2 linked regions of the Rattus norvegicus genome follow. The protein of the gene in region 1 binds, or shares a complex with, the protein of each later gene. Links are inferred from orthologs where the notes say so. Each region holds a gene or a part of one and is shown on either strand. Other genes may lie near its edges.

What was found.
Region 2: the proteins of Tnni2 (region 1) and Tnnc2 are in contact, whole or in part, in a crystal structure (PDB 1A2X), measured with the Oryctolagus cuniculus proteins. The link is inferred for Rattus norvegicus from reciprocal best matches to the Homo sapiens genes TNNI2 and TNNC2. Residues at the interface, in NP_001076252.1 of Oryctolagus cuniculus: Glu5, Asn8, Arg9, Ile11, Thr12, Arg14, Arg15, Gln16, His17, Leu18, Lys19, Ser20, Val21, Met22, Leu23, Ile25, Ala26, Glu29, Leu30, Glu33; in NP_001076114.1 of Oryctolagus cuniculus: Ser13, Glu15, Met16, Ala18, Glu19, Ala22, Lys91, Leu96, Glu98, Cys99, Arg101, Ile102, Phe103, Arg105, Ile119, Phe120, Ala122, Ser123, Glu125, His126, Val127, Glu131, Ser134, Leu135, Asp138, Phe152, Met155, Met156, Val159, Gln160.

Annotation. Positions count from the first base shown.
Region 1 is NC_086019.1:207,023,344-207,027,575, forward strand, and holds Tnni2 (troponin I, fast skeletal muscle), read left to right. Parts: upstream 1-1,146; 5' UTR 1,147-1,157; intron 1,158-1,769; 5' UTR 1,770-1,791; coding exon 1,792-1,799; intron 1,800-1,994; coding exon 1,995-2,001; intron 2,002-2,468; coding exon of another isoform or gene 2,469-2,470; coding exon 2,471-2,512; intron 2,513-2,602; coding exon 2,603-2,731; intron 2,732-2,871; coding exon 2,872-2,961; intron 2,962-3,189; coding exon 3,190-3,366; intron 3,367-3,496; coding exon 3,497-3,592; 3' UTR 3,593-3,689; downstream 3,690-4,232. UniProt on the Homo sapiens protein: Troponin I is the inhibitory subunit of troponin, the thin filament regulatory complex which confers calcium-sensitivity to striated muscle actomyosin ATPase activity.
Region 2 is NC_086021.1:173,932,366-173,936,812, reverse strand, and holds Tnnc2 (troponin C, skeletal muscle), read left to right. Parts: upstream 1-1,473; 5' UTR 1,474-1,566; coding exon 1,567-1,569; intron 1,570-2,978; coding exon 2,979-3,030; intron 3,031-3,122; coding exon 3,123-3,266; intron 3,267-3,361; coding exon 3,362-3,476; intron 3,477-3,598; coding exon 3,599-3,735; intron 3,736-4,030; coding exon 4,031-4,062; 3' UTR 4,063-4,202; downstream 4,203-4,447. UniProt on the Homo sapiens protein: Troponin is the central regulatory protein of striated muscle contraction. Tn consists of three components: Tn-I which is the inhibitor of actomyosin ATPase, Tn-T which contains the binding site for tropomyosin and Tn-C.

The sequences.
Region 1 (4,232 bases):
CAGCGTGGGGAAGAGACCCCAACGCCAGGAGGGATGGTGATATGGTGTCTTCTGTACTATCAACAGGGGGCAGTAGATGCCTTTGGAAGCTGCTCTGGGGCCTTTGGGGGCTCACAGCCCTGGCTTGTGATATACCTCTTAATCCCAGCACATCTGGCGGGCTTTAGCAGCTCCAACCCTCCTCTGATCCCCAGGGGCCCCAGAGCAGCAGGGTTGGGGCCAAGCCATGATCTGGTTTCCTCTGGGTGGGGTTCAGGAGCGGGAAAGGAGCAAGGGCCCGGCCCCAGTGAGCCGGGTAATGCAGGGCCTGCCTAGACAACCAAGGGCCCTGAGCCCCCACAGGTCAGACAAAGGTTCCTAGGGCGGTAGCACCATTCTCTGGGGTTGAAGGACATGTTCCGAGTTGTCTGTGCAGAGGCACCCATAGGCAGGGGTGTGTGGCAGGCTGGGAGAGGCCCAGCTGCTGGTCGAGGGGCGCATTTGCTTCTCTTTCTGGGCAGAAAGGCAAGTTCACTACAAGAGGTGGGCATTACTCTACTGAGCCCTGACTACCTATCACACAGGGCCCAAGAGAATGGTTTTTGGTTTGGGGGGCGAGTGTGCAATTTTGCAGGAGGACTGGTGAGGTGAACAGTCAATCAGTACAGGGGCCCAAGCAGGGCATGAGCACCCAGCAGGCAATGAGTGGCCAGATGGGTGCTGAAGTACAAGGCCACACATACCATTTGACAACGACTCTAGTTCAACCTACTCTTGGTGAAGTCCGGTTTCCCTTGGAGGAAGACTTCAGTGGATGCTTTGAGCTGGGTACCTTGGCGACCCACATGGAAGATTACACTTGCTGTCCTGAGGGCTCTTGCAGGAACAAGGGTGGCATCTTGAACTCGTCATTGAGACATAAATAGAGCAAACCACCCCCCACTCCCCACCCCAAGACTTCTTGGACAGGCCAGCGCCTGGGCTGGCTGGCCAGGCGGCTGGGCAGGTGGGGAGGCTCTCCTCCTCTCTGTGCCCCCATTGGTCTGAGGAGACTCCATGCCCTTTCTGAGCAGGGGCCCGGCCCAGGGAAAGCAATTTATACCCCTCCCCCTGGCCCACCAGCCCAGCTCACTGCTGCCGGCTTGACCTCGCTCCCAGCACTGCTGCACAGAATCTAGGTGAGGCCAAGCCCATCTTCTTGAGGTTGAAGAATAGGGCACTACTCAGGCGAGCTCACAGGAGGACTTCCCTGGGCAGGGGCTTGGGGGGGGGGGGTCTGGGGTCTCCAAGATCTCCCACAGATCTGAGATTGAGAAACAACAGGTGCTGCTAGGCTAGGGCAGGGGGTCTTCAACAGGCCTGGGATAACAGGCTCTGAGTCTGGGGACTCGAAAGCAGGAGAATGTTCAGGTCAAGCAAGTGGGGACTTGAGCCCCCAGGCCACACGGAAGAGCACTTTCTTCCAAGCATTTACTTCTCAAGTCAAAGGAGCAAGAGTTAAAAATAACAGGCTCACTCTGGCAGCCACCTGTGCTGGCCAGCCCCACCCCACCCCTCCCTCAGGGACAGCTGCAGCTCCTCAGGCCCCGCCTAGGACATTTTGGGAACACTTTCTCCTCTTACTTCTCACCCTCGGGGTGGGGGTGGGGGTGGGGGGAGATGTCCTCCAAATCCTTGCCCTCTGAGAAGGTCTGAGTTGTGGGTAGAGCAGAAGTGAGCTAGTGAGCCCAGGTCTCCATGCCAAGCCTCCCGCAAGGCGAACACTGACACCATCACCTCTCTCCCCACAGGCTCAGAGCTTGAGATCTCAAGATGGGAGAGTAAGTGACACCCAGGATGACCTGAACTGCAGTCCCCTCACCAGGGTTTGGGTCTCCTCTCTCTCCCTTCCCTCTGTGGCTACTGCCCACCCCTTCAACCCCATCAACCCCTAAGTTTCAAGGCTACTCCCATGAGCCATGATCTAACGTCTCTTTTTTTCTCCCACTCCTACCTCCCTCTTCCTCCTGGGACAGTGAGGAGGTGAGTATCGTTGGAGGCTATAATGGTCCCCTGAGGCTAGGACAGAAGACACCCCTGTCAAGACTCCCAAATGCCCCACCCCCTGAACTACCCCAGAGAGAGAGGAAGTGCCCGCCTGGTGTTTTGTGAGGCAAGGGAAGTATGACTTAGGTCTAGTCACAAAGGAATCACTTCTCCTTTCTAATTTCTGTTCACCACTCACCTTCCGGGCCTCCCCTTGCCCACAGCCTCTGAGGCCTGGCCATATACTGCCTCCTCATCCTCATTAACCCCTTCATCCCCATGTACCACCTAAGCAAAATGTCAGGACCACAGGCATGTGTCCCTGAAGCAGGCCCCAGACTAGGGAAAAAACAGGGCCCTGGGCAGTGGCCTTGTTACCTCCTTGGGAACCCCAAGTCAGATGGCTCCCAAGGAGGTCAGAGCTCTAGCCAAAGCCTGACTCTGACCCCTCTGTCCTGTCCTGCAGAAGCGCAACAGGGCCATCACGGCCCGGAGACAGCACCTGAAGGTAAGGGTGGGCTGCTGCAGAGGGCTGGGGGTACAGAGGTAGGAGTGGGAGTTCACGGCGGACCCTCACGCCCACCGCTCTGTTCCTCAGAGTGTGATGCTCCAGATCGCGGCCACAGAGCTGGAAAAAGAGGAAAGCCGCCGCGAATCCGAGAAGCAGAACTACCTGTCAGAACACTGCCCGCCTCTGCACATCCCAGGCTCCATGTCTGAAGTGCAGGTAGTTCCTTCCTGCCCCGTACCACCCAAGGCCCTGCTACCCCCATTTCTCAGCAGATCAACCCTATTGGATCAGGACTGGGAGGGGACAGTGGTCCTCGGGTATCAGGGTGGCCACCCACCCACTGCTCGCCCACCCAGGAACTCTGCAAACAACTGCATGCGAAGATCGATGCGGCTGAAGAGGAGAAATATGACATGGAGGTGAAGGTGCAGAAGAGCAGCAAGGAGGTGAGAGGGAGGAGTCAATGGTGAGGGGGTGGGGCATACGGCATGGGGTGGAGTCAGTGGTTTGCGGGATGAAGGGAGTAGGGCAGGCTATATGAATGGGGGAGCCAGGCAACATGGGTGAAGCCAAGCGATATGGGGGTGAAGCCAGGTGGTGTGAAAGTAAGGTCAAAGATACAGAGCAAGGGCAGGGTCCTAAACCTGGCTCCTAAACCTCCTCCTTCCTCCCAGCTGGAAGACATGAACCAGAAGCTATTTGACCTGAGGGGCAAGTTCAAGAGGCCCCCACTCCGGAGGGTGCGTATGTCAGCTGACGCCATGCTGAAGGCGCTGCTGGGCTCTAAGCACAAGGTGTGCATGGACCTGAGAGCCAACCTGAAGCAGGTCAAGAAGGAAGACACTGAGAAGGTAGGCCAGGGCCCAGGGGAGAGCCAAGAAAGAGAGAGTCCACTCACAATCCCTTTTACAGTAAACCAAGGCCCAGGGTAGTCTGGAGCAGACCGGGGTGGATCTGAGACCTCTCTCGTCCTGCCCTCAGGAGCGGGACCTGCGTGACGTGGGTGACTGGAGGAAGAATATTGAGGAGAAGTCTGGCATGGAGGGTCGGAAGAAGATGTTTGAGTCTGAGTCCTAACTGCCTACTTCCCCAGTCCCACCCTACCATTGGGGAAGCACCTAACATCCAGTCTGGAGTACTTGGCCTCACTCCAATAAAGGATTCGCATCCCTTCCACTGGTGTGGTCTAGTTCTGTCTCTGCTTCCTCTGGAGCCCATCAGCAGTGATCAGCTGTGTGGTAGGACAAAGGCCATACTGCTTGGGTACAGTCCAAAGACCCTGGGCTGTACCCTGTAACTCATGGGTGCGATCAATGTCTAACATGACAGGACATGGAGAAAGATGACCATGGGACTCCAACATGTGAGTGGAAGTTTTGGGATCAGCTTCTTTGTCCCTTGGTACAGTCATTCGCTCAGAATGGCTATGACAGGCACACTCCCAAGGCAGCAGGCGCAGTCTCCATTCCTCCAGCACTGCCCTTTCTGAGGGGTCCATCTGAGACCAGAAGTCAGAAGCCATCCTGAAAGGCTGACCCTTTGTGTCTATCCCCAGACTAGGCCTACATCATCCCTGCCTCCTCCTACACTTAGTGCCTGTCCCTCTCTGGACACTGAGGGATGAAGGAAAGGCTGGGCCTGTGCGGTTTGCCTGGATCTTCATTGCACCTCACAAGGTCAAGAATACACTCACCCTGAGGAACATAGAGCCTGGGAT
Region 2 (4,447 bases), on another chromosome or scaffold:
GTCAGGCTCATCCTAATTTTTCCACAACAAAGGTTAAGTAATGGGAGTTGCCAAGGCCGCAGCTCAGTACTTAAGATCACTTGCTGCTCTTGCAGAAGACCTTGGTTCAATTCCTAGCACCTACATGGTAGCTCGAAACTGTGGGATCCGGTGCCTTCTTCCGGCCTCTTTGGGCACTAGGCATGCACATGGTGCACAGACATACGTGCAGACGAAGCACATTAAGAAAATTAAGTTTTGAAAGAATCACCAAGGCTGGGGGTGTAGCTCAGTGGGTAGAGTACTTTGCAGCACGCACATAGCCGAGGCTTGACTTCCCACCCAGCACCCTAATCTAGCATGCCTATAGCCTCGGTGATTCGGTGATTCCGGAGACTAAGGTGAGAGGATCGCCTGAACCCAGGAGTTCAAGGGCAGCTCAGTTGACAGGGAATACTCTTTTGCAAAATAAATCAAAGGACTTAAATGGGCTTGGTATATGCCTGTAAGCCCCAGCACTCTGGAGGTGGAAGTAGGGGTGATTAGAACCTCAAGGTTGAGCTGGAGAGACGGCTCAGAGGTTAAGAGCACTGACTGCTCTCGCTAAGGTCCTGAGTTCAACTCCCAGCAACCACATGGTGGCTCACAACCGTCTGTAATGGAATCCAATGTCCTTTTCTGGTGTGTCTGAAGACAGTGACAGTCTAGTGCACATACATACAATAGATATACAATCTTAAAAAAAAAAAAAAAAAGAACCTCAAGATTAATGTTAGCTACATCAGGTGTTCGAGGCCAGTGTTCAATATATGAGATCTGGCCTCCGAAGTGGGGAATAGAGTTCCTCTGTGGATGCACGACTTATGCTCTAGGCAGATGGAATAATAATAGTTACCTCTTCACGGGATGAAGAGTAGATGAGATCACAGAATCAAGACGCTCAGCCCAGTGGGGGGACAAGTTGTGGGAGTTCACGTCGCTACCTCAGTACTGCGTATCACTTCCCCTTCTTGGGCCAAACGCCAACCCTAGGCACCCAGCGCAAGCTTAGGTGTCTTAGTCATCTGGGCTCACGCTTACCATTTCTGTCTTGGAGGACGATGTGCCTGGAGGGCCCTCGCCACCCGCCCCCACTCACATGGCTCAGAGGGAGAACAGAGTCTTGAATGGATTTTGGACCTCAAGACTGGCCTCTTTCCACTCTACTGTGCTCTTGTTCTGAACATCCTTCCCCCATTTTGGAACAAGTGTGCTGGGGGTGGGGGAGGAGCTCCCTAAGACAGTGGAGCAGGGCGGGGGCCCCCTCCTAAGAATCTAGGAGAACGTCAGAGACTGCCACCTGCTCCAAGCTTAAATTTCCCTGCAAAGGACCCTGGCTAAATTAGGTAATGGGCTAGGACTCTGGGAGGGGAGGGGCTTGCTGCCCCCTGCACCTGATTGGTCAGGGTATCCAGTTCTGGGGAGTAGGGAGGAGGGAAGAGAGGATGCCCCTACAAATCCTGAAGGCTAGAGAGATCTGGGGCACCTTTGGGTGGTGGAGTGCGGAGGAGAGGACCCACAGCAGAGGAGTCCCAGTCACCAGCAACCATGGTAAGGACAAGAAGGGTCTTCACGCTTTTGTCCACAGGCCTCTTTCAGTCCTAGAACTGTGTGCTCTGTGGGCAGTAATGTGGGTGCCTGAAGGTAGAAGATAAGGGTTGTTGGAACCCAAGTCCTGTGGAGACATCCTGGGAAGGCTGGGGGAGGGGGTCAGGATAGTCCAGGAGTTGATCCTCAAGGCTATGACTTCCTGGCCACCTTGAGGCTTGGGACAATGTTATTGGGTACCCAGAGCTGTGTGGGAAGGGTCTTAGCCTGTCTGCTCCCTAGGAGAGACGGAGACCATGAAAGCAGAAAAGTCTCCCAGCAAGGCAGACAGAGTAGGTTCCATGGGCCCAGCCAAGCCTGTGGCAACCAGAGAAGGAAGGTTTCCTCTAAGAATCCCGAGGAGAGGATGGTGGTTAGTAGGGCTGGGTGACAGGGTAGAGGTAGAGACCCTGACCATCCACAGAGGAGCCCTGATCTGGGGCTGCCACTTTCTTCTGAGTACCCTCCCGCTTCACTTGAAGGAGTAATTGGACTCCAGAGACCAGCTGCCATTGACAATGCCCAACTAAAAATAGCCTATCCTCCTGGATCAGGCCAAGGGACGGAGGAGGGAGGAGGAACTGGGCCAGCTGGCTAAAGAATGTCTTGGGACTCACCCCTTCCTCACCACCTCGAGTCCAAAGCCCTGACCCAGAGTGGCCTGGAAAAAATTCACAGAAACCTTACTTTCATGGTTACATGTGGAGCTCCAGGCCAACCCGAGCTACACAGCAAGACTATCTAAACACCCAAACCAGGACGTCGTAACAGAACAGAGGTGTCTTATTTTCACACCAACGCATGGCCCCATCACATTTGACAGTGAGAGAGGTGTTTACCCCGATGACCTAGTGAGAAGTTTTGCCCCCGAGAACCCTCTGACACAAAGCTGCCCATCTCTTCTTGTGGTCTCAGCGTCCGAGTGCTTGGTAGATGTTCTGTGGCTTTGCATTCTGCTATTTAGTTGAGGACAAATACTTATTGACCAGCTAGTCAAGTCCCAGGCAGCATTAGAAGACAGGGACATCAGAAAATCACACTTGAATAGTGCTAACACATTCAAGCCCTCTCTTACCCCCGATGTCCTATTATCCCAGCAAAGTCACAAGAAGGGTGACTTGCCAAAAGTCACTGCTGGGATGGGGGTTTCTTGATGTGGCTCTCCGAAGATAAATGGGAAACTGTGGGTATAACCAATGTCCCCTTTGCACTGGGGATGGTCACCAAGGGTACCTGGGAGGTGCAGCTAGCTTTGGAGTGGCTCTGGAGGACCTGGGGGGTGGGGCACTTCCTAATATAAGAGAGGGCTGGGGAAGCTGAAGCTGGGGTGAGAGTCTGCCCTTCCACGCTCTGATTCTCTCTGTTTCCTATAGACGGACCAACAGGCTGAGGCCAGGTCCTACCTCAGCGAGGAGATGATCGCTGGTGAGTGAGGGTGGGCCGTTGGGGGAGATTAGGTGTAAAGTTGACCATCCAACTGGCCTCACCCATCGCTTCTTCCGTCTCATCCCCGCTAGAGTTCAAGGCTGCCTTTGACATGTTTGATGCTGATGGTGGTGGGGACATCAGCGTTAAAGAGCTGGGTACCGTGATGAGGATGCTAGGGCAGACACCCACCAAAGAGGAACTGGACGCCATCATCGAGGAGGTGGACGAGGATGGTGAGCTGGGCTCCCCCAAGGCAGGGACGGGGAGGAAAGGCTCAGCACACACTGGGCTAACACCTCCCGCCCCGCCCCCGCTTTGCTCCTTGCAGGCAGCGGTACCATCGACTTTGAAGAGTTCTTGGTCATGATGGTGCGCCAGATGAAAGAGGATGCGAAAGGGAAGAGCGAAGAGGAACTGGCTGAGTGTTTCCGCATCTTTGACAGGTGCGTGGGGCTTCTGGGATTCCGGACTTGGGAGCAGATGGAGCCTGCGGGCCTGAAGCGAAGGGGCAGGCTGGCCAGGGTGAGGCTGACCCTGTGTCCTGTTCTGTTCCTCTCTCCCAAAGGAACGCAGACGGTTACATTGATGCCGAGGAGCTGGCTGAGATTTTCCGGGCTTCTGGGGAGCATGTGACAGACGAGGAGATCGAATCCCTGATGAAGGATGGTGATAAGAACAACGATGGCCGCATTGACTTCGACGGTGAGGGCTAGCTTTGTGGGTGGGACTCTTGGTTTTGTGGGTGGGGCTCTTGGCTTTGTGGCTGGGGCTCTTGGCTTTGTGGCTGGGGCTCTTGGCTTTGTGGCTGGGGCTCTTGGCTTTGTGGCTGGGGCTCTTGGCTTTGTGGGTGGGGCTGGGCTTAGGCTAAGTTTCCTCCCACTCTCTAGGGGGGCCCCTTAGGATGTTCCGCAGCTTAGTGCAATGTCCCCATTAAAGACTAGGCACCCCTCTGCGCCCTGAGCGGTACGCCTGACATCATCCCACTCTTTCTCCGCAGAGTTTCTGAAGATGATGGAGGGCGTTCAGTAAGGAGCTGGTCTTCGTGTTCATCCAGACTGCAGGTCCCCTGGGCGTGGGCAACTCCATCCTTGCCTCCTTGCCCTACCAGGGAAAGGCTGCTCCTTTGGGCTCTGTGGCTGGAAGGAATAAAAGCAGACAATGTAAAGCTGGCCTGACTGACCAGGGGACTGATTGAGGGCAAAGGATCTTAGGGATTGCCTGGCTGGATTGACGCACAGAGCGTCCCCCGGAGCCGCTGGGTATGGAAAGAAGGAGGGGTCACGCGGGCCGGAGGCTTGGGTGGCTCAGTGCCGGGCGAAGTTCGACCTGCTCTGCGGGTTCTCAGCCGGCTGGCTACCAGCAGCTGGCGCTGGCAGTGGGCGACTCTTGGCAAATGGCCTGCACTTGCGCCTGG